Linked DNA regions of Saccharomyces cerevisiae S288C. The protein of the gene in region 1 binds, or shares a complex with, the protein of each later gene. Each region holds a gene or a part of one and is shown in the gene's direction. Other genes may lie near its edges. The genes, in order: NUP145, NUP116, SEC13 and NUP84.

Region 1 (8,532 bases):
GGAGAATCAAAGGATAGATAACGTATTTTCTGCCTTCTATATCGATATACCCATTTTAGAAGTGGAAGCATTCAGATGCAAGGAGCTTTGGAGAAGTATTAATGAATCCAAGGATAAATTCAAGGACTTTGAGGCCCAAATTGATAAATCCCATCCCCCTCTTCTGCTCCAGGAGTATTTTTCCTCGGATGAGAAAATGAAGCAATTGATGAGGGACCAGCTACAGTTGGTCAAAGGATATTCGAAATTGGAGGCAGCAATGGAATGGTATGAATGGAGGAAAAAGCAACTAAATGGTCTGGAATTAATTTTGGCAGAAAATTTGAATACCTTGAAAAGGGAGTACGAAAAATTAAACGAAGAAGTTGAAAAAGTTAACAGCATCAGAGGCAAAATACGAAAACTTAATGAAGCAATAAAGGAAGAGATAAGGTCCCTAAAAAACTTACCATCCGATTCTTATAAGCCTACTTTAATGAATAGAATAAAAATTGAGGCTTTCAAACAAGAGTTAATGGAACATTCCATATCGTTGAGTTCTTCCAATGATTTTACCCAAGAAATGCGTTCACTTAAATTAGCTATTGCAAAAAAATCTAATGATATACTAACTTTAAGAAGTGAAGTCGCCTCTATAGACAAGAAAATTGAAAAACGAAAACTGTTCACACGGTTTGACTTGCCAAAATTACGAGATACTCTCAAAATTTTGGAGTCATTAACGGGGGTACGCTTTCTGAAATTCTCAAAGGCAACACTTTCAATTGCATTTCTTCAACTGGATGATTTGAGAGTGGATATTAATCTAGCAAACTTTAAAAATAATCCGTTAAGTTCTATGAAAGTTATGAATGACAGCAATAATGACGATATGAGTTACCACTTATTCACAATGTTGTTGAAGAATGTTGAAGCCGAACATCAAGATAGCATGCTTTCGAACCTTTTTTTTGCTATGAAAAAGTGGAGACCATTATTGAAGTATATAAAATTACTAAAGCTCTTGTTTCCGGTGAAAATTACTCAAACTGAGGAAGAGGAAGCGCTTTTGCAGTTCAAGGATTATGATAGAAGAAACAAGACTGCATTTTTTTACGTTATATCCCTTGTCTCATTTGCTCAGGGCGTATTCTCGGAAAATGGGCAAATTCCAATGAAAGTTCACATAAGTACTCAACAAGATTACTCACCGTCACGGGAAGTCCTCTCTGACAGGATAACCCACAAGATCAGTGGAGTTCTTCCTTCATTTACGAAAAGTAGAATACATTTAGAGTTTACGTAAAGTGTTTATAATAGGACAACGATGACTAGTAATATCTCATCACTTTTTTTTAGTTTTTGACGAAAGATTTTTAACTGCCCCGCCGGCAGGAAAGTTCAAACAATTTGAAGAAAAGCTCGAAAAAATTTTGGACAAAAACAACAATCACATCACCATTGGAAAGATAAAAAATTAGAAAGAATTAACTCGTTTGTTGTTTCCTGTTACCTATCACAATTATTATTGCTTTTTAGAACCACAAGCAAAGGAGAAGCAGTAGCCACCTTATGTTTAATAAAAGTGTAAATAGTGGTTTCACCTTTGGAAACCAAAACACATCCACACCGACATCCACTCCGGCACAGCCTTCCAGTTCCCTTCAATTCCCTCAAAAATCTACTGGGTTATTTGGGAACGTTAATGTTAATGCGAATACTTCAACACCTAGCCCATCTGGTGGATTATTCAATGCCAATTCAAACGCTAATTCTATAAGTCAACAACCCGCCAATAATTCATTATTTGGAAATAAACCAGCACAACCATCAGGTGGCTTATTTGGCGCTACAAACAATACTACTTCTAAAAGTGCCGGAAGCTTATTCGGAAATAATAATGCCACAGCAAATTCTACGGGCTCTACAGGTTTATTCAGTGGTAGCAATAATATAGCCTCTAGTACCCAAAATGGTGGTTTGTTTGGTAATAGCAACAATAACAATATAACTTCTACCACGCAAAATGGTGGTCTGTTCGGTAAGCCTACTACAACCCCTGCTGGTGCTGGCGGCCTGTTTGGAAATTCCTCATCGACAAACTCAACGACAGGATTATTTGGATCAAATAATACACAAAGTTCTACAGGTATTTTTGGTCAAAAGCCGGGAGCTTCAACAACTGGGGGATTGTTTGGAAATAATGGTGCTTCATTCCCAAGATCCGGTGAAACTACTGGAACCATGTCAACCAACCCATATGGAATTAACATAAGTAATGTTCCTATGGCAGTGGCTGACATGCCAAGATCTATTACGTCTTCTCTATCAGATGTGAATGGCAAGTCAGATGCGGAACCCAAACCAATTGAAAATAGAAGAACATATTCGTTTTCTTCCTCAGTTTCAGGGAACGCTCCTTTACCACTCGCCTCACAGTCAAGTTTAGTGAGTAGACTAAGCACGAGACTGAAAGCCACTCAGAAAAGCACGTCACCGAATGAAATATTTTCACCGTCTTACAGTAAACCGTGGCTGAATGGAGCAGGTTCAGCTCCCTTAGTAGATGACTTTTTTTCTTCAAAGATGACTTCTTTGGCTCCAAATGAAAACAGCATCTTTCCTCAGAATGGTTTTAATTTCCTATCCTCCCAAAGGGCCGACTTGACAGAGCTGCGTAAATTGAAAATTGATTCCAACAGAAGTGCTGCAAAAAAATTAAAACTCCTCTCTGGTACTCCCGCCATCACAAAAAAACATATGCAAGACGAACAAGATTCATCGGAAAATGAGCCAATTGCAAATGCTGATAGTGTCACTAACATTGACAGGAAAGAAAATAGAGATAATAATTTGGATAACACTTATTTGAATGGAAAGGAGCAATCGAATAACTTGAATAAACAAGACGGCGAAAATACTTTACAACATGAAAAGTCATCAAGTTTTGGTTATTGGTGTTCTCCTTCCCCAGAACAGCTGGAGCGTTTGTCATTGAAGCAATTAGCGGCCGTTTCAAATTTTGTTATCGGGAGAAGAGGTTATGGTTGTATTACATTTCAACATGATGTGGATCTCACAGCTTTTACCAAAAGCTTTAGAGAAGAACTATTCGGTAAAATTGTAATATTTCGTTCCTCTAAGACAGTAGAAGTATATCCTGACGAAGCCACCAAACCAATGATTGGGCATGGGTTAAACGTTCCCGCTATAATCACTCTAGAGAATGTTTATCCTGTAGATAAAAAAACAAAAAAACCGATGAAAGATACGACGAAGTTTGCTGAATTTCAAGTTTTTGACAGGAAACTAAGAAGCATGAGGGAAATGAACTATATATCCTATAATCCCTTTGGCGGGACTTGGACTTTCAAAGTCAATCATTTTAGCATTTGGGGGTTAGTCAATGAAGAAGATGCGGAAATAGATGAAGACGATTTGAGTAAACAAGAAGACGGCGGTGAGCAACCATTAAGAAAGGTGCGCACGTTAGCGCAATCAAAACCATCGGATAAAGAGGTTATCCTCAAAACAGATGGCACTTTTGGAACTCTATCAGGTAAAGACGACTCTATCGTTGAGGAAAAGGCATACGAACCTGATTTGTCTGATGCGGACTTTGAGGGAATTGAAGCTTCCCCTAAACTTGACGTTTCTAAGGATTGGGTAGAACAATTAATTTTAGCTGGGTCTTCACTACGTTCTGTGTTTGCCACTTCTAAAGAATTTGACGGGCCATGTCAAAATGAAATAGATTTACTCTTTTCCGAATGCAATGATGAAATTGATAACGCAAAACTCATCATGAAGGAAAGAAGATTTACAGCCTCTTATACGTTTGCAAAATTTTCAACAGGTTCAATGCTACTGACAAAAGATATTGTTGGTAAATCGGGCGTTTCAATTAAGCGTTTACCAACTGAGTTGCAAAGAAAATTTTTATTCGATGACGTCTATTTAGATAAAGAAATTGAAAAGGTTACTATCGAAGCAAGGAAGTCAAACCCATACCCACAAATTAGTGAAAGCTCTTTACTCTTTAAAGATGCTTTAGATTATATGGAAAAAACCTCTAGTGATTACAATCTATGGAAACTTTCATCTATTTTATTCGACCCCGTTTCCTATCCATACAAGACGGACAATGATCAAGTAAAAATGGCATTATTAAAAAAAGAAAGGCATTGTCGATTAACTTCGTGGATTGTTAGCCAGATAGGTCCGGAAATTGAAGAGAAAATTAGGAATTCTTCTAACGAAATAGAACAAATATTTCTATATTTGCTCTTGAATGATGTCGTAAGGGCATCCAAGTTAGCAATTGAGTCTAAGAATGGTCATTTGAGCGTTTTGATATCCTATTTGGGTTCAAACGACCCAAGGATACGTGATTTAGCGGAATTACAATTGCAAAAGTGGTCAACTGGTGGTTGTAGTATCGACAAGAATATCTCGAAGATTTACAAATTACTAAGCGGTTCACCTTTTGAAGGTTTATTTTCTCTTAAGGAACTTGAAAGTGAATTCAGTTGGTTGTGCCTTTTGAATTTGACACTGTGCTACGGCCAGATAGATGAGTATTCCTTAGAATCTCTTGTGCAATCGCATTTAGACAAGTTTTCTTTACCCTATGATGATCCTATTGGAGTTATTTTCCAACTATATGCTGCTAATGAAAATACGGAGAAGCTCTATAAGGAGGTTAGACAAAGAACCAACGCTTTAGATGTTCAGTTTTGCTGGTACTTGATTCAAACATTGAGATTTAATGGAACACGCGTTTTTTCGAAGGAAACTAGCGATGAGGCTACATTCGCATTTGCCGCTCAACTTGAATTTGCACAATTACATGGCCACTCTCTTTTTGTTTCTTGCTTTTTAAATGATGACAAGGCAGCAGAAGATACCATAAAAAGGCTTGTTATGCGTGAAATAACATTGTTAAGAGCCTCTACCAATGATCACATTTTAAATAGATTAAAGATCCCTTCGCAATTGATATTCAATGCTCAAGCTTTGAAAGATAGATATGAAGGCAATTACCTTTCTGAAGTACAAAATCTACTCCTGGGTTCGTCTTATGATTTGGCAGAAATGGCTATTGTTACGTCATTAGGACCAAGGCTGTTGTTATCAAACAATCCTGTACAGAATAATGAACTGAAAACTTTGAGGGAAATTCTTAACGAATTTCCAGACTCTGAGAGGGACAAATGGAGTGTAAGTATAAACGTATTTGAAGTATATCTAAAGCTTGTGTTGGATAATGTTGAAACGCAGGAGACTATCGATTCATTAATTAGTGGTATGAAGATATTTTATGATCAGTATAAGCACTGTCGTGAAGTGGCCGCATGTTGTAATGTTATGTCCCAAGAGATTGTATCAAAAATATTGGAGAAAAACAATCCTTCAATAGGCGATTCGAAGGCCAAATTGCTTGAGCTCCCCCTAGGGCAGCCAGAAAAGGCATACTTGAGGGGTGAGTTTGCCCAGGATTTAATGAAGTGTACATATAAGATATAAGTTTTTTTATTTTTATTTCTAAAAAAAAGAAAAATAGTAAAACATGGACTGAAGCTAACGCTTTTGGAGTAATTAGTAGCATTATATATGGTAAAAGTGTTCTTCAGTAGGTCTAAGATTTAAAGGTAATGATATTTATATTATAAAACGATTTGACCTCTAATGCACTTCCTTTTATTCTTTTTGATAAAATATACTATACATCCCCCACAGCATCTCGCAGAGCCTCCACAACGTTAAGTACAGCACTCGAAGCTGGGCTGTCAGGATAGTTATCCAGGAAACTTTCACCCATGTCACAACTCTTGCCAATCCTCGGATCTAACGGAACAGACCCCAAAAATTTGATGCCCAATTCCTTACAAAGTGCTTCACCTCCACCTGTGGTAGCCTTGAATATTTGGGACTCTCCTTTGCAATTTGGACATACAAATCCGCTCATATTTTCCACTAGTCCAAGAATATTGATACCAGCCTTCTTACAGAAATCTATCTCTTTCCGTACATCTAATAAAGCTACTTCCTGAGGTGTGGTGACCACAAGGGCACCATCTATGCCAGATTCTCTCATATACTTGTTTATTGAAATGTGCTCATCAGATGTTCCGGGCGGTGTGTCGATTACCAAGTAATCGAGTTTATCCCAATCAACATCCTTTAAAAATTTTTTTATCAATAAATTCTTTTTTGAACCCCTCCATATAATGGCGGAATCGTCTTCTGGAAGCATATATTGAATAGACATGGTGGCTAAATTATCAGTCACATAGACAGGTGTCCAACCGGAGTTCGATTCATGGACGGTTTCTTTAATGCAGCCTAACATATGTGGCAAAGAAGGTCCACATATATCTAAATCCATGGCACCTACTTGTAAATCTTCGTCAGCTGAAAGTGCCCAACTTAGCATTGCGGCAAATGTCGACTTGCCTACGCCACCTTTGCCTGATAAAACCAATATTTTATGTTCTATTCCTGACAAGTTATCTGTGATCAATGGAATATCTGGATCAGGGCCTTTCGGAAGACTTTCACATATTTCTTTATTGGCGCAGCCACCACAAGCATCGGACTTACCTGCCATGTCTGATTCTGGACCAGGACAGTGTTCTGGTTCCGGCTGATTAAGTTCATACTCTGCTGGTAGCACTTCGTCGTTTACATGTGGTAGTATCTCAGTCATTCTTGGATATCACTTATGTATACTGTTGTTCTCAAAAACAGAAAGACTTCACGTTTAGCCTAGCCTACGAGTTGTTGGACAAACATGTTATTTATTATTATATACAAAATATTTCTACGCATTACTAATTACACCATTAATGAATCCGAAAAAGTACCCGGAAGCGTATTTTGAAAAGCCATATTAAAGAATAATAAGATGAACGGCAGTTTTCGACGTGTCAATGCATAGAACTGAGAGAATTGTGCATTGGATGACTTATTTATGTAGGGTGCTATGTCCCAGCTGACGGAGTTCATTAGCTGTATCCCTGTGGTTAATGAAGAACAAAATGAAGAAGATGAGCGTGGCCTCTGTAAGATTCAGATTGAAGATGGCGCTATGTTGGAAACATTAGATGAGAACAGTCTTTCAGGGCTTAGAATAGAGAAAATGTTGGTAAGTGAAGGTACAGGAATTTTTTCCAAAAGCAGTTTTGGAATCAATGATTTGCGAATCTTTACGGGAGAAAATATCGATGAAGAGTCTAAGAAATATGTGTGGTATGAACTACTCAAAATGTTAACTGGTCACAAAGTGTACATTGCATCGTTAGACGAAAAAGTCGTATTCACAAAATGGACGTGCAGAATGCAAGATGATGAGGTATGGAAAGTAGTTATGGAGTTGGAGTCATCGGCGATCATAAGAAAAATCGCTGAACTTACCTTGCATCCAGTCAAAAAGGGAGAGATTGATTTATTTGAAATGGCAGATAAACTCTATAAAGATATCTGTTGTGTTAACGATTCTTACCGGAATATAAAGGAGAGCGATTCTAGCAATAGAAATCGAGTTGAACAGCTGGCTCGGGAAAGGGAGCTATTGGATAAGCTTTTAGAAACACGTGATGAAAGAACCAGAGCAATGATGGTAACCTTGTTGAATGAGAAGAAGAAGAAAATAAGAGAGCTTCATGAGATTCTGCGACAAAATAATATCAAATTGTCTGACGATGATGTTTTAGATTCTGCGCTTATTAATACGGAAGTGCAAAAGCCAATTTCTGAGTTAAACTCTCCAGGAAAAAGAATGAAACGAAGAAAGACGGTAGTAGAGCCTCAAAATTTACAAAAGAAGTTGAAAGACACAAGTCGGAGGAGAGCTAATAGAAAAATATCTAATCAATCCGTGATCAAAATGGAAGACGACGATTTTGATGACTTTCAATTTTTCGGACTTTCTAAAAGGCCAATTATTACTGCTAAAGATAAACTCAGTGAAAAGTACGATGATATTACCTCTTTTGGAGATGACACACAATCAATAAGTTTTGAATCTGATAGTAGCAGTGATGTTCAAAAACATTTAGTGTCTTTAGAAGACAATGGTATTCAAATATCAGCAGGAAGATCGGATGAAGATTACGGAGACATTTCTGGTTCTGAATCTGAGACTGATGCAAGTGCAGGGGAAAAGAAGAGCTCCAACCATAGTGAACAATCCGGTAATGATAGGGAACCTTGCTTGCAGACAGAATCGGAAACGGATATAGAAACATAGCCTATTTATGAATGAATGTAATATATGGCAAAGAGTATTATAGTATCGCATCATTTGAGAGAATACTTTATTTAAATGGCAAAAAATAGTTCTATGTGAGTGATCGAAAACTCAACTACTCAGATTGAAAAGAAAATAAATAAAACTAGGTGTTGTATGAACGTGAAAGAAATCGAGAGGGTTTAGAAGTAGTTTAGGGTCATTTTTCAGTACATTGGTTGGCCTGGCTTGAGTTGCAACCAGTGCCAAGCATCAGCGTTGGCCTCTCTCTTGTACATTGGTTGGCCTGGTCTCAAATTTAA
Region 2 (8,151 bases), on another chromosome or scaffold:
GCCTGGTGCCCGTTGGTTATCGAAAATCGATATTCACCCAAGGGGTGATAATTTAATTGCGTCATCGTTTGACAAGAGAGTTTTATGGCACGACCTGGATTTGGCTAGCACACCTTACAAGACACTAAGATATCATGAAAAAGCCGTCAGAAGTGTGAATTTCCACAAAAAGTTACCTCTATTCAGCTCTGCCGCTGATGACGGTACCATACATGTTTTCCATGCCACTGTTTATGATGACATGATGAAAAATCCGATGATTGTGCCACTAAAGAAACTAACCGGTCATAAAGTAATCAATAGTCTGGGTGTTCTTGATGCTATTTGGCATCCGAGGGAAGCTTGGCTGTTTTCTGCCGGTGCTGATAATACGGCTCGCTTATGGACCACCTAGATAAATAATTTGAAGTAGATATTGTATAATAACGCCCAAGAAGAAAAAATCAAACACTCGAACCAGGCTCTTTCTACAAGCTTTATTTACACAATATATATAAACCTATATGTATAGATGCCCACACGCACGTTTGGATTATTACCTTCAATGACATTGCTAAAAGCCCATTTCCTTCATAGCATCCAACTCATCTTGATCTACGCCAAACTCATCTCCCCCTGGCAATAAATCATAATGAGTATGTTGTCCCTCTATATCATTCATTTCCCACTCTTCCAAACTTTGAATCAGTTGAACGTCTTCTTCAGTCATAGAGCCTTTTTCCATTTTTCTATGCGCATCTAGCCATCCTAATAAGAGCTTCTTCTCATTTTCTTCAAGGCCAACGGGCCCTTGTACCCTGAATGTCTTCAATAATGCATCCAAATCTTCCTTAGGCGGCACAACGTTGTTAAGTACCGTTTCATTATTCCCACGTTCGTCCAAAACTCGTCCTCTTCTGTTGCGATAAGAAAGGTGATAGATATCGTCATCTTCGTCATTATCGTAATCGACATTGTTTACATTCCTTTTGTCTTGCGCAAAACTATCTGCGACAATAGGCCTCTCTTCCGCGGAAGTGACATGTTCTTCAACCATAGGTGATTGTCTTTCCAGGTCTTGCCCAGTCTCCCGTGTGCCAACATCGAAACTCATGCCCATCTCGTCCCTAAAAAGGCTGACTCTATATTCTCTAAGAACTGGATCTGTTTTACCTACTGTTTGACAGATCTTCATAAAATCCTTAAATTTTGCCTTGGGAAACAATTCATGTGCCCAAAGCTGGTAAAACTGAATAATATTTGATAAGTTGTCATATGAGTTTTTTTTTGAGGAAATTCGTATCCTTTTATGTGCATTTTTCAAAACATATGGTAAACCTTTATCACTGAGTAGTTTTTCGGCTGTTAATTTTACTTGAGGCCTTCTCTTTCTAGCTGTAATTGCGGTTGGATCCGCAATGGTAGGATCAACTACTGAACCATCCAAGCCATTTGGTACAGTTGGGTCTTTTTGGACACTATCGGAGTCATTGAAACCTAGTAATAAACTGTCAAAATCTTGATCCATGACCTCAATAAAAGTTTCTGTTCACGTTTTCATGGCATTTTAATCCAGTATATCATTGATCTTGTTACGCGTCAGTTTATTATTGTCACTTTTGCAGATTATCATTACCCGGCATTTTTCCTTACCATGCTCATTAGAAAAAGAACAAAACTAAATTATACTTAGAGTTAATAAAGTGTCATAAGGTCGCAAAGGAAACTATCAGCATTGCATAGAGATCCCGGCAACTGAGAGGCACCATTCAGCTTCGAAGATTTCTTTTTTAAAACATTATTATGTTTGGAGTTAGCCGTGGCGCATTCCCCAGCGCAACAACACAGCCATTTGGCTCAACAGGATCAACCTTTGGTGGCCAACAGCAACAACAACAACCAGTAGCAAACACTTCTGCTTTCGGCCTCAGTCAGCAAACAAATACAACACAAGCACCTGCGTTTGGTAACTTTGGTAACCAAACTTCTAATTCTCCCTTCGGAATGTCAGGCTCGACTACAGCAAATGGTACTCCTTTTGGTCAAAGTCAATTGACGAACAACAATGCCTCTGGCTCGATCTTCGGTGGAATGGGTAATAACACAGCACTTTCTGCTGGTTCCGCTTCTGTTGTGCCCAATTCTACTGCAGGTACAAGCATTAAACCTTTTACTACATTCGAAGAGAAGGATCCAACCACAGGTGTCATCAACGTCTTCCAAAGTATCACCTGTATGCCTGAATACAGAAATTTTTCTTTTGAAGAATTGAGATTTCAAGATTACCAAGCTGGTAGAAAATTCGGTACCAGTCAAAATGGCACTGGTACTACTTTTAACAATCCTCAAGGAACTACCAATACTGGATTTGGAATTATGGGTAATAATAACTCCACTACTTCTGCTACAACAGGAGGATTATTTGGTCAAAAGCCAGCAACAGGCATGTTTGGAACCGGAACTGGAAGTGGTGGTGGCTTTGGCTCTGGAGCGACCAACTCTACAGGATTGTTTGGAAGCTCTACTAACCTCTCAGGAAATTCTGCATTTGGAGCAAATAAACCTGCCACTTCCGGGGGATTGTTTGGTAATACAACTAACAACCCAACAAACGGCACTAATAATACAGGCCTTTTCGGCCAGCAGAACTCAAATACAAACGGAGGATTATTTGGTCAACAGCAAAATTCATTTGGGGCGAATAATGTCAGTAACGGGGGAGCCTTTGGTCAGGTGAATCGTGGTGCCTTTCCCCAACAACAAACACAACAAGGTAGTGGTGGTATATTTGGTCAATCAAACGCTAACGCAAATGGTGGCGCTTTCGGCCAACAGCAAGGCACTGGTGCTCTTTTTGGAGCTAAACCTGCTTCTGGTGGACTATTTGGACAATCTGCTGGTTCAAAAGCATTCGGAATGAATACCAACCCCACTGGTACCACTGGTGGCTTATTTGGGCAAACCAATCAGCAGCAAAGTGGAGGAGGGTTATTTGGCCAGCAACAAAATTCCAACGCTGGAGGATTGTTCGGTCAGAATAACCAAAGCCAGAACCAATCCGGATTATTTGGACAACAAAACTCCTCAAACGCATTTGGCCAGCCACAGCAACAAGGCGGATTATTTGGAAGCAAACCTGCAGGAGGACTGTTTGGACAACAGCAGGGAGCATCCACTTTTGCGTCTGGTAATGCCCAAAATAATTCTATATTTGGGCAAAATAACCAACAACAGCAATCAACCGGGGGATTATTCGGACAACAAAACAACCAGTCGCAGTCCCAACCTGGTGGATTGTTTGGCCAGACCAATCAAAATAATAATCAGCCATTTGGCCAAAATGGGTTACAACAACCACAACAGAATAATAGTCTTTTTGGAGCGAAACCAACTGGTTTTGGAAATACAAGCTTATTCTCTAACAGCACAACAAATCAAAGTAACGGTATAAGTGGAAATAATTTGCAGCAGCAATCAGGAGGTTTGTTCCAAAATAAACAGCAACCTGCTTCGGGTGGCCTGTTTGGTTCAAAACCATCAAACACTGTTGGAGGCGGATTATTTGGAAACAATCAAGTTGCAAATCAAAACAATCCTGCCTCAACTAGCGGCGGATTATTTGGTAGCAAACCTGCTACAGGATCCCTTTTCGGAGGTACTAATTCCACGGCTCCAAACGCCTCTTCGGGTGGAATATTTGGGTCCAATAATGCATCTAACACGGCGGCCACCACCAATTCTACTGGTTTATTTGGTAATAAACCAGTTGGTGCGGGAGCTTCTACAAGTGCTGGAGGACTATTTGGAAACAATAACAACTCGTCTCTAAACAATTCCAACGGTTCAACGGGCCTGTTTGGTAGTAATAACACCTCTCAATCTACTAATGCTGGAGGCTTATTTCAGAATAACACTAGTACGAACACTTCGGGCGGAGGGTTATTTTCCCAACCTTCCCAGTCAATGGCACAATCACAAAATGCGCTCCAACAACAGCAGCAGCAACAACGATTACAAATTCAGAATAACAATCCCTACGGTACTAATGAGCTTTTTTCGAAAGCAACTGTCACCAACACGGTTTCCTATCCAATTCAACCAAGCGCTACAAAGATCAAAGCCGATGAACGCAAAAAAGCCAGTTTGACGAACGCATACAAAATGATTCCTAAAACTTTATTTACAGCCAAGCTCAAGACTAATAATTCCGTCATGGATAAGGCCCAGATCAAGGTTGATCCAAAGTTGTCGATTTCCATTGATAAAAAGAATAATCAGATTGCGATTTCTAACCAGCAGGAGGAAAATTTGGACGAAAGCATATTAAAAGCTTCTGAGTTATTATTCAATCCCGATAAAAGGTCATTCAAGAATCTAATTAATAACAGGAAAATGTTGATCGCATCCGAGGAAAAGAATAACGGATCACAGAACAACGATATGAATTTTAAAAGTAAAAGTGAAGAACAAGAAACGATCTTGGGAAAGCCAAAGATGGATGAAAAAGAAACTGCTAATGGGGGGGAAAGAATGGTTTTGTCCTCAAAGAACGATGGGGAAGATAGCGCAACGAAACATCATTCCCGGAATATGGACGAAGAAAATAAAGAAAATGTCGCCGATTTACAGAAGCAAGAATATTCAGAAGATGATAAAAAGGCTGTTTTTGCGGACGTTGCGGAAAAAGATGCCTCCTTCATTAATGAGAACTACTATATCTCACCATCCCTGGACACATTATCCTCTTATTCTCTCTTGCAACTGCGCAAAGTTCCTCATTTAGTTGTGGGTCATAAAAGTTATGGTAAAATTGAATTTCTTGAACCTGTTGACCTCGCTGGAATTCCTTTGACCTCATTAGGGGGCGTAATCATTACTTTTGAACCAAAAACCTGTATAATATATGCGAACTTACCAAACAGACCGAAGAGAGGGGAGGGCATTAATGTTCGGGCCAGGATTACCTGCTTTAACTGTTATCCTGTAGACAAATCTACCAGAAAACCTATAAAGGATCCAAATCATCAACTGGTTAAAAGGCATATCGAACGCTTAAAGAAAAATCCAAATTCTAAGTTCGAAAGCTATGATGCAGACAGTGGTACATACGTGTTTATCGTAAACCACGCTGCAGAGCAGACCTGAGTTATTATATAACGAAACTATATATAGAATCAAATACAAATTTGTAATGCATTTAGTGTAATTAACCTGTTAAATTTTTGAGTATAAAATTATAGATGGAACAAGTGATAAAAAAGAGAAAAGGGACCCTTCATAGACCTGCTGCGATAATTACATCCTTTTGAAAAAGACAATAATTCATGTCGTTTGTTGCCTTCCCTTTTTCTTTTCTTTGAAAAAAAAAGAAAATGCCATCTCCTAGAATCGAACCAGGGTTTCATCGGCCACAACGATGTGTACTAACCACTATACTAAGATGGCAAACTTGGATTGTTAAGAAAAACATGCTGGGCTATACAGTACATTTACCGCATATGTACCTCTAGCCACCACCCGAACATGGAATTTATTCGTCCTGTAGTGTCAAGCGGTGCGAATGCCAAGGTCACAGCTTCATTGAAAATGATGTTGGAATAAAAATCCACTATCGTCTATCAACTAATAGTTATATTATCAATATATTATCATATACGGTGTTAAGATGATGACATAAGTTATGAGAAGCTGTCATCGAAGTTAGAGGAAGCTGAAGTGCAAGGATTGATAATGTAATAGGATAATGAAACATATAAAACGGAATGAGGAATAATCGTAATATTAGTATGTAGAAATATAGATTCCATTTTGAGGATTCCTATATCCTTGAGGAGAACTTCTAGTATATTCTGTATACCTAATATTATAGCCTTTATCAACAATGGAATCCCAACAATTATCTCAACATTCCCCCATTTCTCATGGTAGCGCCTGTGCTTCGGTTACTTCTAAAGAAGTCCAAACAACTCAAGATCCGTTAGACATTTCAGCTTCCAAAACAGAAGAATGTGAGAAGGTTTCCACTCAGGCTAATTCTCAACAGCCAACAACACCTCTCTCATCTGCTGTTCCAGAGAACCATCATCATGCCTCTCCTCAAGCTGCTCAAGTACCATTGCCACAAAATGGGCCGTACCCACAGCAGCGCATGATGAATACCCAACAAGCCAATATTTCTGGCTGGCCAGTATACGGGCACCCATCCTTGATGCCGTATCCACCTTATCAAATGTCACCTATGTACGCTCCACCTGGGGCACAATCACAGTTTACACAATATCCACAATATGTTGGAACACATTTGAACACCCCGTCACCTGAGTCAGGTAATTCATTTCCTGATTCATCCTCAGCAAAGTCTAATATGACATCCACTAATCAACATGTCAGACCACCGCCAATCTTAACCTCACCTAATGACTTTCTCAATTGGGTTAAAATATACATTAAATTTTTACAAAATTCGAATCTCGGTGATATTATTCCGACAGCAACAAGAAAAGCCGTACGTCAGATGACTGATGACGAACTCACCTTCTTATGTCACACCTTTCAACTATTTGCTCCATCTCAATTCTTACCCCCCTGGGTTAAAGACATCTTATCTGTTGATTATACAGATATCATGAAAATTCTTTCCAAAAGCATTAACAAAATGCAGTCTGATACTCAAGAGGTAAATGACATTACGACCCTAGCAACTTTGCATTATAATGGAAGTACACCTGCAGATGCATTTGAAGCAGAAGTCACAAACATTCTTGACAGACTAAACAACAATGGTATTCCTATCAATAACAAGGTAGCATGCCAATTCATTATGAGAGGTCTATCTGGCGAGTACAAATTTTTACGCTACGCACGTCATCGATGTATACATATGACAGTTGCTGATCTGTTTTCAGACATACATTCTATGTATGAAGAACAACAGGAATCAAAACGTAATAAATCTACTCATAGGAGAAGTCCGAGTGATGAGAAGAAAGACTCTCGCACCTATACGAATACAACCAAACCCAAATCCATAACTCGGAATTCCCAAAAACCAAATAATTCGCAATCAAGAACAGCCAGGGCTCATAACGTATCCACATTTAATAACTCTCCCGGCCCTGATAACGATCTCATAAGAGGATCGACTACTGAACCGATTCAATTGAAGAATACACACGACCTTCACCTTAGGCCAGGAACTTACTGAATCTACGGTAAATCACACTAATCATTCTGATGATAAACTCCCTGGACACCTCCTTCTTGATTCAGGAGCATCACGAACCCTTATAAGATCTGCTCATCACATACACTCAGCATCATCTAATCCTGACATAAACGTAGTTGATGCTCAAAAAAGAAATATACCAATTAACGCTATTGGTGACCTACAATTTCACTTCCAGGACAACACCAAAACATCAATAAAGGTATTGCACACTCCTAACATAGCCTATGACTTACTCAGTTTGAATGAATTGGCTGCAGTAGATATCACAGCATGCTTTACCAAAAACGTCTTAGAACGATCTGACGGCACTGTACTTGCACCTATCGTAAAATATGGAGACTTTTACTGGGTATCTAAAAAGTACTTGCTTCCATCAAATATCTCCGTACCCACCATCAATAATGTCCATACAAGTGAAAGTACACGCAAATATCCTTATCCTTTCATTCATCGAATGCTTGCACATGCCAATGCACAGACAATTCGATACTCACTTAAAAATAACACCATCACGTATTTTAACGAATCAGATGTCGACTGGTCTAGTGCTATTGACTATCAATGTCCTGATTGTTTAATCGGCAAAAGCACCAAACACAGACATATCAAAGGTTCACGACTAAAATACCAAAATTCATACGAACCCTTTCAATACCTACATACTGACATATTTGGTCCAGTTCACAACCTACCAAAAAGTGCACCATCCTATTTCATCTCATTTACTGATGAGACAACAAAATTCCGTTGGGTTTATCCATTACACGACCGTCGCGAGGACTCTATCCTCGATGTTTTTACTACGATACTAGCTTTTATTAAAAACCAGTTTCAGGCCAGTGTCTTAGTTATACAAATGGACCGTGGTTCTGAGTATACTAACAGAACTCTCCATAAATTCCTTGAAAAAAATGGTATAACTCCATGCTATACAACCACAGCGG
Region 3 (5,165 bases), on another chromosome or scaffold:
ACCTATAGGTAGAGCGTGCATAGATCTGGGCTTAATAAATCAATACATCACAAACAATATTTCTCAAGCAATTTCGTATTATATGAAAGCTATGAAAACACAAGCTAACAATGGAATCGTAGAATTCCAATTATCCAAATTGGCCACTTCATTCCCTGAAGAAAAAATCGGCGACCCATTTAACTTAATGGAAACTGCCTACTTGAATGGATTCATTCCAGCCATATATGAGTTTGCAGTAATGATCGAATCTGGAATGAACAGTAAGAGTAGTGTGGAAAACACTGCTTACCTGTTCAAAACATTCGTTGACAAAAACGAAGCTATTATGGCACCTAAACTGAGGACAGCATTTGCCGCATTAATCAACGATCGTTCAGAAGTGGCTTTATGGGCTTATTCCCAACTAGCCGAGCAAGGCTACGAGACTGCTCAAGTCTCTGCCGCCTACTTAATGTACCAGTTGCCATATGAGTTTGAGGATCCTCCAAGAACCACAGATCAGAGAAAAACTTTGGCAATTTCCTACTATACAAGAGCGTTTAAACAGGGAAATATAGATGCTGGTGTTGTCGCGGGAGATATCTATTTTCAGATGCAGAATTACAGTAAAGCTATGGCTCTTTATCAGGGTGCAGCTTTGAAGTACTCTATACAGGCTATCTGGAACTTAGGGTACATGCATGAGCATGGGCTAGGTGTAAACAGAGATTTCCATCTTGCTAAACGTTACTACGACCAAGTTTCAGAACACGATCATAGATTTTACTTGGCTTCCAAATTGAGTGTTTTAAAATTACACCTAAAGTCATGGTTGACTTGGATCACCAGAGAAAAAGTAAACTACTGGAAACCTTCCTCGCCACTTAACCCTAACGAAGATACTCAGCACTCGAAGACTTCATGGTACAAGCAATTGACGAAGATTCTACAAAGAATGAGACATAAGGAGGATAGTGACAAAGCTGCGGAAGATTCTCACAAACACAGAACTGTAGTGCAGAATGGAGCTAACCATAGGGGTGACGACCAAGAGGAGGCTTCCGAGATTTTGGGCTTCCAAATGGAGGATCTTGTTACGATGGGATGTATCTTGGGGATATTCCTATTAAGTATATTAATGAGTACACTGGCGGCCCGTAGAGGCTGGAATGTCCGTTTCAATGGAGCACAATTAAATGCAAATGGTAACCGGCAGCAAGAGCAACAACAACAACAACAAGCACAAGGTCCCCCGGGCTGGGACTTCAATGTTCAGATATTCGCCATATGATGTGGTTTGTATAGATATATACATAGACTATCCATAGAAATCACCCACGCATTACCCGAAAGTTTTCAATAAAGCGAACAGCGAGAAGAAAAAAAGCGAAACCGACAGAGAATTACCACCCTAGAGCTTTAACCCCATTGAGATCAACACAATTTCGAACAGTGAAAGTGCATTGGCGAAGGTGATACAATTGGCTTCCAGCTCTGAATAATAATAACTTACAAGCGCAAAGATAACAGATAATTTTATATCAGCATACAAATGGTCGTCATAGCTAATGCGCACAACGAATTAATCCATGACGCTGTTCTAGACTATTATGGGAAGCGCCTTGCAACCTGCTCTTCTGACAAGACAATCAAGATCTTTGAAGTCGAAGGAGAAACACACAAGTTAATAGACACGTTGACTGGCCACGAAGGCCCAGTTTGGCGTGTTGATTGGGCACATCCTAAATTCGGAACCATTTTGGCATCGTGTTCTTATGATGGTAAAGTGTTGATTTGGAAGGAAGAAAACGGTAGATGGTCTCAAATTGCCGTTCATGCTGTCCACTCTGCTTCTGTCAACTCTGTTCAATGGGCTCCTCATGAATATGGCCCCCTACTGCTGGTTGCTTCCTCTGATGGTAAGGTCTCCGTAGTAGAGTTCAAAGAAAACGGTACTACTTCCCCAATAATCATCGATGCTCATGCCATTGGCGTTAACTCTGCTTCTTGGGCTCCAGCTACCATCGAAGAAGATGGTGAACACAACGGTACTAAAGAATCTCGCAAGTTTGTTACTGGGGGTGCTGACAATTTGGTAAAGATTTGGAAGTACAATTCAGATGCCCAAACTTATGTTCTGGAAAGCACCTTAGAAGGTCACAGCGATTGGGTTAGAGACGTAGCATGGTCACCTACTGTTCTTCTACGTTCTTATTTGGCCAGTGTTTCTCAAGATCGCACCTGTATTATTTGGACTCAAGACAATGAACAAGGCCCATGGAAAAAAACTTTATTAAAAGAAGAAAAATTCCCAGATGTTTTATGGAGAGCCAGTTGGTCTTTGTCAGGTAATGTACTAGCTCTTTCCGGTGGCGATAATAAAGTTACTTTATGGAAGGAAAATCTTGAGGGTAAATGGGAACCCGCTGGTGAAGTTCATCAGTGAAGAGTATCAAGAATTTAAAATGAAACATCTCAAAAGAAAAAAGAATGCAAATGAGTCTATCGACGAATTTGAAGGGAAATAAACGCATAATGTACAGTAACGTATAACAATTAAAGATTTGTGGAAGTTTTCAAAAACTTTTCAACTTTTTTCTTTGTTTTTTTTTTGCAACTTCTTATATTAATATTGTCATAGATATTTCTTATACAAAAACAAGCGAACAAAAATAATCGACGTATATACAATAGATATATAAGACTGTTTTTCTTCAATAGAACAGGCGAAATTATTCTACCGGCCGAAGGTACATCTTCCCGCTATGTAATAAATAGAGGTATTTAAGTTATAACAATTATAATTCCCCCATTACGGCAGCAATTAAGTTTTGCACGTCATTAGAGGCGATTTTACCATTCTCCAGTACTTCAGCGTGAGTCGCTTTGCCTTTTTCTAAGGGTACAGGTGATTCGTCCAACGCACTGGCAGGGCTATCCACCACGCAAGTATTGGTAATCAAACTTAAGGCCAAAACCCTCCATCCGCAATGTCTTGCAACAATGACTTCGGGAACAGTACTCATTCCGACAGCATCTCCTCCCAACATCCTTATCATTTTGGATTCTGCTCTTGTTTCGAAAGTGGGTCCAGATACAAAAGTATAAGTACCTTCATGCAGTGGCCTTTGAATCTTGAGCTCTTTCCATTTCTTAAATAAAAGCTTCCTCAACTCCAGATCATATGCATCACTCAAGGCTAAAAAACGAGGTCCATCTTCATCCAAGTTAGGACCTCTCAATGGGTGCTGGCCAGCAAGGCCAGGGATATTTAAATGATCATAAATGCACATCAAATCGCAGGCTTGATATTTCGCGTTTATACCACCAGCGGCATTAGTGACAATTAAATTACGAACATGACCCATGTGGTTAAGCACTCTAATAGGAAAAGTAGTCTCAAACAATGTGTTGCCTTCATATCCATGAAGACGACCATTCATTAATACTACTGGTGAACCATTCATAGATCCGAACATTAGTGTACCGGAATGACCTGGAACCGTACTTTTCTTGAATCCTGGGATGTCTTGGTATGGGACTGTTACCGGGGGTGGATTGTCTCTAGACAGCTTGGTAGATATTCCACCAAGCCCTGAACCACATATAATCAAAGTTCTCGGAGGCTCGAAATTTGTTGTATTTTTGAAATGTGGTTCTAAAATAGCAGAAATATACGCAGCGGCCTTGGTAATTGCTTCACGTTGTTGACTTACGTTCAAGATATCACTCATCTTTTAAGTTTATTCGGAGTTTCTCATGTGTTCTAGAAGATTAGCAAGATTATCCTAAAGTTATGCCTGCCCTATCTGCCCTCTGCTTCGAGATTTTCCTTTTCTTTGCGCTTTGTAAACACTGAAACAAAAACAAAAACAATGGAAACATCAGAAAGATATTTATTTATTGTGGCCGCATAAAGTTTTAATTCTTTGATAATTAACGTCGTATTTGGGAAACTGCTTACTATACCGGATACTAGGCTGCCCTGATCAAACAAGGAAATTGACAGATGATGCTTGAAGGGTATACGGTACAACCTCCACAGTCTACTTTGATAGGTGACATTGAAATTCAGGACGAAAATGCAAACCAAGAAGTTAAGAACGTACTTTACCAAGGAGTTCAAAAGGGTATAAAAAGGCTAGAAAAAAGACAAAGGAGGGTTGCATTAGGTGATGTAACCTCTCAAAAGGCAAACAAAATACACAATGCTATACATAATAAATTCCATCAGACGAAGAACAATTTTGAAATAGAGAACATACGCTCATCGGCCTTGGTAAAAGAACAACAACGAGACGTAAGGCATGAAGATAGCGACTATTTTTTAATTGATAGTTCTGAAGGCTCTTCTACTGATGACGAACAAGTTAATGAAGATGCTATTGATGATTTGTTAAGTCGAAGAGTAAATGATCAGCAGATTCAAGCCGATGAAGTGTATGAAGATTTCGATGGAGAAATGCAAGATGTCATTGAAGAGGATGTTGATAGTCAAATTGAACCACTATCACCAATAAACAACGATGAAATTCAGACTGAGCTGGACAGGGCGTTTGAAAAATATTTTCGGTCGGTTCCCAATCCGCTGGATGATGATACCCATGATGTTGTGATGGTTGTGGAGTACGCTTCCGACATATTCTATTACTTGAGAGAACTTGAAGTGAAATATAGGCCTAATCCCTACTATATGCAAAATCAAGTAGAGCTTACATGGCCGTTCAGACGAACTATGATAGATTGGCTAGTTCAACTGCATTTTAGATTTCAACTTTTACCAGAAACGCTATACCTGACGATTAATATAGTGGATAGATTTCTGTCAAAGAAGACCGTTACTTTGAACAGGTTTCAATTGGTTGGTGTATCGGCTTTATTTATTGCTGCCAAGTTTGAAGAGATTAACTGCCCCACTTTGGATGATCTAGTTTACATGCTGGAAAATACATACACTAGAGATGACATTATTAGAGCGGAACAGTATATGATAGATACTCTGGAATTTGAAATAGGTTGGCCAGGACCCATGCCATTTTTAAGAAGGATAAGTAAAGCAGATGACTATGACTTCGAACCAAGAACATTAGCAAAGTACTTATTGGAAACTACAATAGTAGAACCCAAACTAGTGGCTGCGGCACCAAGCTGGTTAGCTGCTGGCGCGTATTTTCTGAGCAGAA
Region 4 (6,740 bases), on another chromosome or scaffold:
GAGGCATATACATTTTTTGCACAGAGATGTTTGCTCTGACTGATGATAATGGAACGTCAGATTTTTCTGCGGAACCCCAAAATTTAGAGAAAATACTATACAGAAAGCATTGTACGCCATATGAATTGACATGGCTTTTCAAGAAATTAGCAAACTCATTGGGAATCACTTGTGAAATTGTTATAGGTTTCCTGAAAACACCGAGTGCTATAAATTGGGAGTTTAAGTATAACCACTGCTGGTTGAGAATACTGGTTAACAAAGAATGGAGATTTATTGACGTTATTTTAGGAAATGTAACCAACCCAATTCATGAATTTGTAAATAACAGAAAGATCAAGAAAGCAGAAAATAGCTACTTTTTGATGGCACCATTAGAAATGATATACACACATATACCGCCTAGGGAATTTGAGCAGCATATTGTTCCTAGTATCGATCAATTATCTGCATTGTATCTGCCATTAGTTTTTCCATCTTTTTTCAAAAATGAGTTAAAGTTATACAAATTTAGTACTGCACTATCATTTTTGGAAGATTCTGAGATCTACGAATGCTCCTTAGAAATTCCCAATGACGTTGAAGTCTTTGCATCCGTGGTTATTCCAACGGATAATGAAGAAGCTTCATCTGCGTACAGGAATATGGAACTCGCACTGACCCAAATCAAAAAGCAGAAAGCCGAGTCTGGTAGAAGAATTGCTCTAATCAAAGCAGTCCTACCACCCAATGTGAACAAAGGTTCACTGTACATACATTCAGGTGTAAGAGGTACGCAAACGAGTATTGCCAATATCCATCCACTGTCCATGATGGTCCCATTAACACATAAGGGAAGTAACATGAAATACGAATTTGTGATCAAGATACCCTCAGAAAGCATTCAGAAGATTGAGCTATACATTGTCGAGCCACAGAGTAGATATCTATTTGTTGGTAATGAGTACTCATTCGAAGTTATTCAAAGTCCCTCCGATGGTATTGTATACAGCAGTGATGAAGGGCCGAACCAAAATAGGAAACAACCAATGGCAATAAAATCACCCTCAGGAAGAGTTCATGAGCTAGTCAAGAGCGATCCCCACTTTCCTTATGGTACCTGGAAAGGAAGCATTAAAATCAAAGAGCCCGGCGTCTGGAGCGCTTTAGTGATCGCTGACTCTGGTATTGGGTGGTCCGTTTTTGCTGAATGGTTGTGCGTATAAACGTTTTTCACAAATTTTTTTACAGCGCTATAATCTGTATCATTCAACATACATTCTACTCAGGAAGGTGAATTTCATAACTCATATATGGCTATATAGTACTTATTATTTAATGATTTATCCATTGCATTCATAAAAGCTATGCTGGTCCAACTTTTTCGTATTTAGTGATGTTTTCGGTGAAGAAAATATGAAAAATTAGACCAAATGCTCAAATACATACGACATTTGAATTGTTTAGGCAAGTCCGAAAACGAGGTATATCAGCTAATTCAACCTGAAAACCAATTGAGTGCTACTTCGAAGTAAAATACATAGCCATTTCAAATGGAATTATCCCCTACTTATCAAACAGAACGCTTCACAAAGTTCTCAGACACTTTAAAGGAATTCAAAATTGAACAAAATAATGAGCAAAACCCCATTGACCCGTTTAACATCATAAGAGAGTTTCGCTCAGCCGCGGGGCAGCTTGCGTTAGATTTGGCTAATTCTGGAGATGAAAGTAACGTCATATCTTCTAAGGATTGGGAACTGGAAGCTAGATTTTGGCATTTAGTAGAACTGTTACTGGTTTTCAGGAACGCTGATCTTGATCTAGATGAAATGGAACTTCATCCTTATAACTCGAGGGGTTTATTTGAAAAGAAATTAATGCAAGACAACAAACAACTTTATCAAATATGGATAGTGATGGTTTGGCTCAAAGAAAATACATATGTGATGGAAAGACCCAAAAATGTACCAACTTCAAAATGGTTAAATAGTATTACTTCTGGAGGATTGAAAAGCTGTGACTTGGATTTTCCTTTACGAGAAAACACTAATGTCCTCGATGTTAAAGATAAAGAAGAAGATCATATTTTCTTCAAATACATTTACGAACTAATTTTGGCCGGTGCGATTGATGAAGCATTAGAAGAAGCTAAACTTTCCGACAATATTTCAATTTGTATGATCCTGTGTGGGATACAAGAGTACTTAAACCCTGTCATTGATACGCAAATTGCAAACGAATTCAATACCCAGCAAGGTATCAAGAAGCACTCTTTGTGGAGAAGAACAGTTTACAGCCTTTCGCAGCAGGCCGGTTTGGACCCTTATGAAAGGGCGATATACAGCTATTTGAGTGGCGCTATTCCCAACCAAGAAGTTCTGCAATATTCGGATTGGGAGTCTGATCTGCACATACACTTAAATCAAATTTTACAAACTGAAATTGAAAATTATCTTTTGGAAAACAATCAAGTAGGTACTGATGAACTGATTTTACCATTACCTTCACACGCGCTAACTGTACAAGAGGTGCTTAATAGAGTGGCTTCAAGGCATCCCTCAGAAAGTGAACATCCAATCAGAGTTTTAATGGCATCTGTCATACTAGATTCTTTGCCATCAGTTATTCATTCATCCGTGGAAATGTTGCTTGATGTCGTCAAGGGAACCGAAGCTAGTAACGATATTATAGATAAGCCTTATCTTCTGAGGATAGTTACACATTTAGCCATTTGCCTTGATATAATTAATCCAGGTTCTGTTGAAGAGGTTGATAAGTCCAAGCTCATTACTACGTATATCAGTCTTCTGAAATTGCAAGGCCTTTATGAAAATATTCCAATATATGCTACTTTCCTGAATGAGTCAGACTGCTTAGAGGCATGCTCTTTCATATTGTCTTCTTTAGAGGACCCCCAAGTAAGGAAAAAGCAAATTGAGACAATAAACTTTCTAAGATTACCTGCCTCAAATATTTTGAGAAGAACCACACAGCGTGTTTTCGATGAAACCGAACAAGAATATTCACCATCTAACGAAATTTCCATATCTTTCGATGTAAACAACATTGATATGCACTTAATATATGGCGTGGAATGGCTTATTGAAGGGAAGCTTTATGTGGACGCTGTCCACTCTATCATTGCCTTATCGAGGAGATTTTTGTTAAATGGCCGCGTAAAGGCTCTCGAACAATTTATGGAGAGAAATAATATTGGAGAAATATGCAAGAATTATGAATTAGAGAAAATAGCCGATAACATATCAAAGGATGAAAATGAAGATCAGTTTTTGGAAGAAATAACTCAATATGAGCATTTGATAAAGGGCATAAGAGAATATGAAGAATGGCAAAAATCCGTTAGCTTGTTAAGCTCTGAATCGAACATTCCTACTTTAATAGAGAAATTGCAAGGTTTTTCAAAGGATACATTTGAATTGATCAAGACATTTTTAGTAGATTTAACTTCCTCTAATTTCGCGGATTCGGCAGATTATGAAATCCTGTATGAGATTAGAGCCCTATATACTCCATTTCTACTGATGGAATTGCATAAAAAGTTAGTGGAAGCCGCAAAGTTGTTAAAGATCCCAAAATTTATTTCGGAAGCCCTGGCATTTACCTCATTGGTCGCTAATGAGAACGACAAGATTTATTTATTATTCCAATCTAGTGGAAAGTTAAAAGAGTATCTGGATCTCGTTGCTCGCACAGCAACCCTTTCGAACTGATCAATTAATGTATTGCAGAATAAGTTTATATTTTAAGTAAACAGCAATAATTTTATGCATTTCTTCTATCTATTTCAGAAGTAATTGACGTGATTTTTTATAGTTTTGCTTTGAATCTTTGTGTTTCCACACCGGAGAAAAAAAAGTTCATGAAGTGAAAAAGCGGTTAAACATGAATTTTCTACTATCTAAAGATAAAATTACAGATGCAGTTACTTACATACATTGAACAGTTTCTGACGGCAAATTTAGCTTCTATTAATTTTTTTCTGTAGCTGATGAAAAATTCTGTCCCTATGATGCGCCAATGGGTCATCAACATCCGTCGGAAAAAATTCATTTCTAGGGTATTCAATATCATCTCCTTCATCAGAATCATCTTCGTTATCACTTATCTCTATTTCACCTTCTTGGCCATCCAAGTCAATGAAATTCGAGGAATTTATGGATTTCAAGACATCACTTTTTCCTCCAAGCCTGTTAAAAAGATCCCCGTACTCTTCCTCCACATCGTGGTACCCATTAGATCCCTGAATTTTATCGTCATTCCAAGAGGAAAACCTGCTCTTATTAACCCCTATAACAATCTCTTCACCCAATGCAGCTATATCCTCTCCTTCGCTACCAAATAGAATAGATCTATCATCATCTTCATCCTCCGGATAATCATTTTGGTAATAGTTTTCGTCATTAGAATCCTCATCGTCTGAACGGGCTTCATTGGGATCACTTTCTTCATCAAGAGCCAAATCTATATGCTCAATAATTTTCACAAACCCTATATTTTTCTCGTTGTTATATCTAGCAACCTCATCGTCATGAATTTTCTCCAAATGGTAGATGTCAAAAACGTAATCTAAACTGGGTAGTGATGCAATTTTTGCAGAATCCCCAGTAAAATATTTCCTACTTGGTTTTTTTCTTTCTGTCTTTTCTACACCTTTATTCAACTTTAAATAGTCATTCACCATTTGATTGATCTCTGGCGGTAACCCATCGTCATCTACAGTACTTCCTTCTGCTGCAAGCCGCTGTTGTGATTTTTCATCATCTGAGTCTCTACGACTTTTTTTTCTTTGTTCCAATACAAAATGTCGATGATCTTCATGAGCCAGTTTTAAGAGTGGCGTAGAAGACTCTTGCTCGGATTGATAGCTTTCAGAGCTCACAGTCTTTGATAATTTAAATATGAACTTCTGCTTCTTCACTCTTTTCCCCTCATCAATTACTGAATTGTCCCAGATGAACTTAGTTAGTCAAACGCATTTTTGTTATATCGGTAGAATAACAACACATACATAATGCCTGCACAGAATCCTCATCCCTTCTTCTCTTTACTCTGATAAACTCAGGTGCCGTTGTGGTACTAATAGTGCTCATTCCCGAAATCTTGTATGCCTACCTCAACAAAAGCTATACCTCAGAGAGCAGTTTTATATACCATCTCTTGTTCTCATCAATAACTTGTCTTGAGCATTACACAATTTAAATCCCCTGTGCCGACACAAACAAGAGATAACCCGGAATCAATATTATCTGATTGGGCTCCTAAATATCGCATCTGTGGACTTGAATCCACATGCTGCGAACTTATTTGAAGCAACAATTACTTCTGTTGGAAGCGTGGTAGTGCCAAATCAGACTTGCTCTTTAGTTTTCTTATGTTAACGCTTTACTGCCTTTTTCTTCTATATTTTTGAACGTCAATATGTAGCGGGCGTCAGCAGAGGAACAGAATTTGTGACACTTCTTGAATGAACATTTCTCATATCTGAAACCGCATCATCAAAAGGACACCTCAATAGAGATTCAGTGACATATTTAACATAGTTTTATGGGTAAGAAATATTATTAATTATGGTACGCAAGAATAAAATAAATAGAGCGAGTGGAACTACAAAACACCTCAAGGATTTTCCATCAGTCATCCTAAGTCTGCCCAGCTACAACCCTTCCATCCTTTCTAAAAATGCAACTGCACTAATAACCGGTGGTTCTAGTGGACTCGGATTTGAACTTGCAAAGGAACTTTCCAGAAGAATTAATAAAGTTATTGTGGCAGATATTCAATCATTTCCTACTTTTGCTCAGGTAGAATATAATAACATTTTCTACTATCAATGCGACATAACAAGTCTAGATGAAATTAAAAATTTGAAAAAAGCTATTGAAAGAGATCATGGCAACATTAATATAATTATAAATAATGCTGGTGTTGCTCACATCAAAAAGTTAGAACATATGACAAACAAGGAGGTAGAACAATTGATCGACATAAACTTAATAGGTGCTTACCGAATCATCAGTACATTTGCAGAAGATATGATAGACAATAGGGAAGGCTTTATAATTAACATTGCTTCAGTCCTCGGAGAACTGACTCCTGCAAGGCTGACATCGTATGGTGCATCAAAAGGAGCAATGATTGGTTTTCACAAGTGTATGAGCAGGCATTTCAGAAGTTTGTCCACGGAATGTAATAAAACTGGAATAAAAACACTACTGGTGTGCCCGGGAAAAATCAAAACTAATATGTTTATTGATGTCCCTACACCATCTAAGTTATTGGCTCCTGACATCATACCTTCCCAACTGGCACTAGCGATAATCTCTGCGATGGAGCATAATCATCTGCAAACACTAAATGCCCCATATTATGTGAACCTAGTTCCCTTTTTCAAAACTTTGAGTTGGCCATATAGGCATCTCTTAAAACATTTCAGTGGAATGGACCATGTAACGTCAACCAGCCCGCGAGCAATAAATCCGAAGAGAAGTGCATAATATTTTAGTCTATTTAATACATTTGACGTTATTTGATCTTCACGTTGTTTATATATATATATATCAAGTATGCTATAACGCTAAAAAAAAATGCTCATAATACTATGCAAAATCTTGATGTCTTTTGACTTCTTTCCAAATTTCTAAATTTTGACGGGCATAATTTCTCATATATCTGGAATAATGCTTTAAAATTTCTGATAAATCTACTTCCCTTTCTTTAGAAAATTTAGGTAGCTGGTC

Evidence for each region.
Region 2: NUP145 (region 1) and NUP116 share a complex: the UniProt entries of both Saccharomyces cerevisiae proteins name them as parts of the nuclear pore complex.
Region 3: the proteins of NUP145 (region 1) and SEC13 are in contact, whole or in part, in a crystal structure (PDB 3IKO), measured with the Saccharomyces cerevisiae proteins. Residues at the interface, in NP_011423.1 of Saccharomyces cerevisiae: Ile744 (codon at 3,781), Glu747 (codon at 3,790), Arg748 (codon at 3,793), Arg749 (codon at 3,796), Phe750 (codon at 3,799), Thr751 (codon at 3,802), Ser753 (codon at 3,808), Tyr754 (codon at 3,811), Thr755 (codon at 3,814), Phe756 (codon at 3,817), Ala757 (codon at 3,820), Lys758 (codon at 3,823), Phe759 (codon at 3,826), Ser760 (codon at 3,829), Thr761 (codon at 3,832), Ser763 (codon at 3,838), Leu765 (codon at 3,844), Leu766 (codon at 3,847), Thr767 (codon at 3,850), Lys768 (codon at 3,853), Lys773 (codon at 3,868), Ser774 (codon at 3,871), Gly775 (codon at 3,874), Val776 (codon at 3,877), Ile778 (codon at 3,883), Leu781 (codon at 3,892), Pro782 (codon at 3,895), Glu784 (codon at 3,901), Arg1045 (codon at 4,684), Gln1046 (codon at 4,687); in NP_013309.1 of Saccharomyces cerevisiae: Asn9 (codon at 1,559), Glu10 (codon at 1,562), Leu11 (codon at 1,565), Ile12 (codon at 1,568), His13 (codon at 1,571), Asp14 (codon at 1,574), Ala15 (codon at 1,577), Leu17 (codon at 1,583), Asp18 (codon at 1,586), Tyr19 (codon at 1,589), Tyr20 (codon at 1,592), Lys22 (codon at 1,598), Arg23 (codon at 1,601), Leu24 (codon at 1,604), Thr26 (codon at 1,610), Phe36 (codon at 1,640), Val38 (codon at 1,646), Gly40 (codon at 1,652), His43 (codon at 1,661), Leu45 (codon at 1,667), Pro55 (codon at 1,697), Trp57 (codon at 1,703), Arg58 (codon at 1,706), His63 (codon at 1,721), Pro64 (codon at 1,724), Lys65 (codon at 1,727), Gly67 (codon at 1,733), Thr68 (codon at 1,736), Tyr75 (codon at 1,757), Ser101 (codon at 1,835).
Region 4: the proteins of NUP145 (region 1) and NUP84 are in contact, whole or in part, in a crystal structure (PDB 4XMN), measured with the Saccharomyces cerevisiae proteins. Residues at the interface, in NP_011423.1 of Saccharomyces cerevisiae: Tyr852 (codon at 4,105), Lys855 (codon at 4,114), Thr856 (codon at 4,117), Asp857 (codon at 4,120), Asn858 (codon at 4,123), Gln860 (codon at 4,129), Val861 (codon at 4,132), Ala864 (codon at 4,141), Leu865 (codon at 4,144), Lys868 (codon at 4,153), Ile897 (codon at 4,240), Val909 (codon at 4,276), Val910 (codon at 4,279), Ser913 (codon at 4,288), Lys914 (codon at 4,291), Ile917 (codon at 4,300), Ser919 (codon at 4,306), Lys920 (codon at 4,309), Asn921 (codon at 4,312), Gly922 (codon at 4,315), His923 (codon at 4,318), Leu924 (codon at 4,321), Ser925 (codon at 4,324), Val926 (codon at 4,327), Leu927 (codon at 4,330), Ser929 (codon at 4,336), Tyr930 (codon at 4,339), Leu931 (codon at 4,342), Gly932 (codon at 4,345), Ser933 (codon at 4,348); in NP_010167.1 of Saccharomyces cerevisiae: His97 (codon at 1,821), Tyr99 (codon at 1,827), Ile148 (codon at 1,974), Leu153 (codon at 1,989), Lys154 (codon at 1,992), Ser155 (codon at 1,995), Cys156 (codon at 1,998), Asp157 (codon at 2,001), Leu158 (codon at 2,004), Asp159 (codon at 2,007), Leu162 (codon at 2,016), Arg163 (codon at 2,019), Asp204 (codon at 2,142), Ile206 (codon at 2,148), Ser207 (codon at 2,151), Cys209 (codon at 2,157), Met210 (codon at 2,160), Ile211 (codon at 2,163), Cys213 (codon at 2,169), Gly214 (codon at 2,172), Gln216 (codon at 2,178), Tyr218 (codon at 2,184), Asn220 (codon at 2,190), Val222 (codon at 2,196), Ile223 (codon at 2,199), Thr225 (codon at 2,205), Thr233 (codon at 2,229), Gln234 (codon at 2,232), Gln235 (codon at 2,235), Gly236 (codon at 2,238).

The regions. Positions count from the first base shown.
Region 1 is NC_001139.9:336,355-344,886, forward strand, and holds NUP145 (nucleocytoplasmic transporter NUP145), read left to right. Parts: upstream 1-1,551; coding exon 1,552-5,505; downstream 5,506-8,532. Other genes in the region: kinetochore-microtubule binding complex subunit SPC105, read left to right, coding at 1-1,285; NBP35 (Fe-S cluster-binding ATPase), read right to left, coding at 5,702-6,688; LIF1 (Lif1p), read left to right, coding at 6,965-8,230; MF(ALPHA)2 (Mf(Alpha)2p), read right to left, coding at 8,437-8,532. UniProt on the Saccharomyces cerevisiae protein: Functions as a component of the nuclear pore complex (NPC).
Region 2 is NC_001145.3:360,337-368,487, reverse strand, and holds NUP116 (FG-nucleoporin NUP116), read left to right. Parts: upstream 1-1,782; coding exon 1,783-5,124; downstream 5,125-8,151. Other genes in the region: ribosome biogenesis protein ERB1, read left to right, coding at 1-394; CSM3 (Csm3p), read right to left, coding at 554-1,507; YMR046C (gag protein), read left to right, coding at 5,861-7,183. UniProt on the Saccharomyces cerevisiae protein: Functions as a component of the nuclear pore complex (NPC).
Region 3 is NC_001144.5:558,017-563,181, forward strand, and holds SEC13 (GTPase-activating protein SEC13), read left to right. Parts: upstream 1-1,534; coding exon 1,535-2,428; downstream 2,429-5,165. Other genes in the region: ubiquitin ligase complex subunit HRD3, read left to right, coding at 1-1,273; PNP1 (purine-nucleoside phosphorylase), read right to left, coding at 2,781-3,716; B-type cyclin CLB4, read left to right, coding at 3,992-5,165. UniProt on the Saccharomyces cerevisiae protein: Functions as a component of the nuclear pore complex (NPC) and the COPII coat. It is one of 5 proteins constituting the COPII coat, which is involved in anterograde (ER to Golgi) double-membrane transport vesicle formation.
Region 4 is NC_001136.10:250,034-256,773, forward strand, and holds NUP84 (Nup84p), read left to right. Parts: upstream 1-1,532; coding exon 1,533-3,713; downstream 3,714-6,740. Other genes in the region: CYK3 (Cyk3p), read left to right, coding at 1-1,205; IWR1 (Iwr1p), read right to left, coding at 3,962-4,941, 5,012-5,093; YDL114W (short-chain dehydrogenase/reductase), read left to right, coding at 5,571-6,497; ATG20 (Atg20p), read right to left, coding at 6,600-6,740.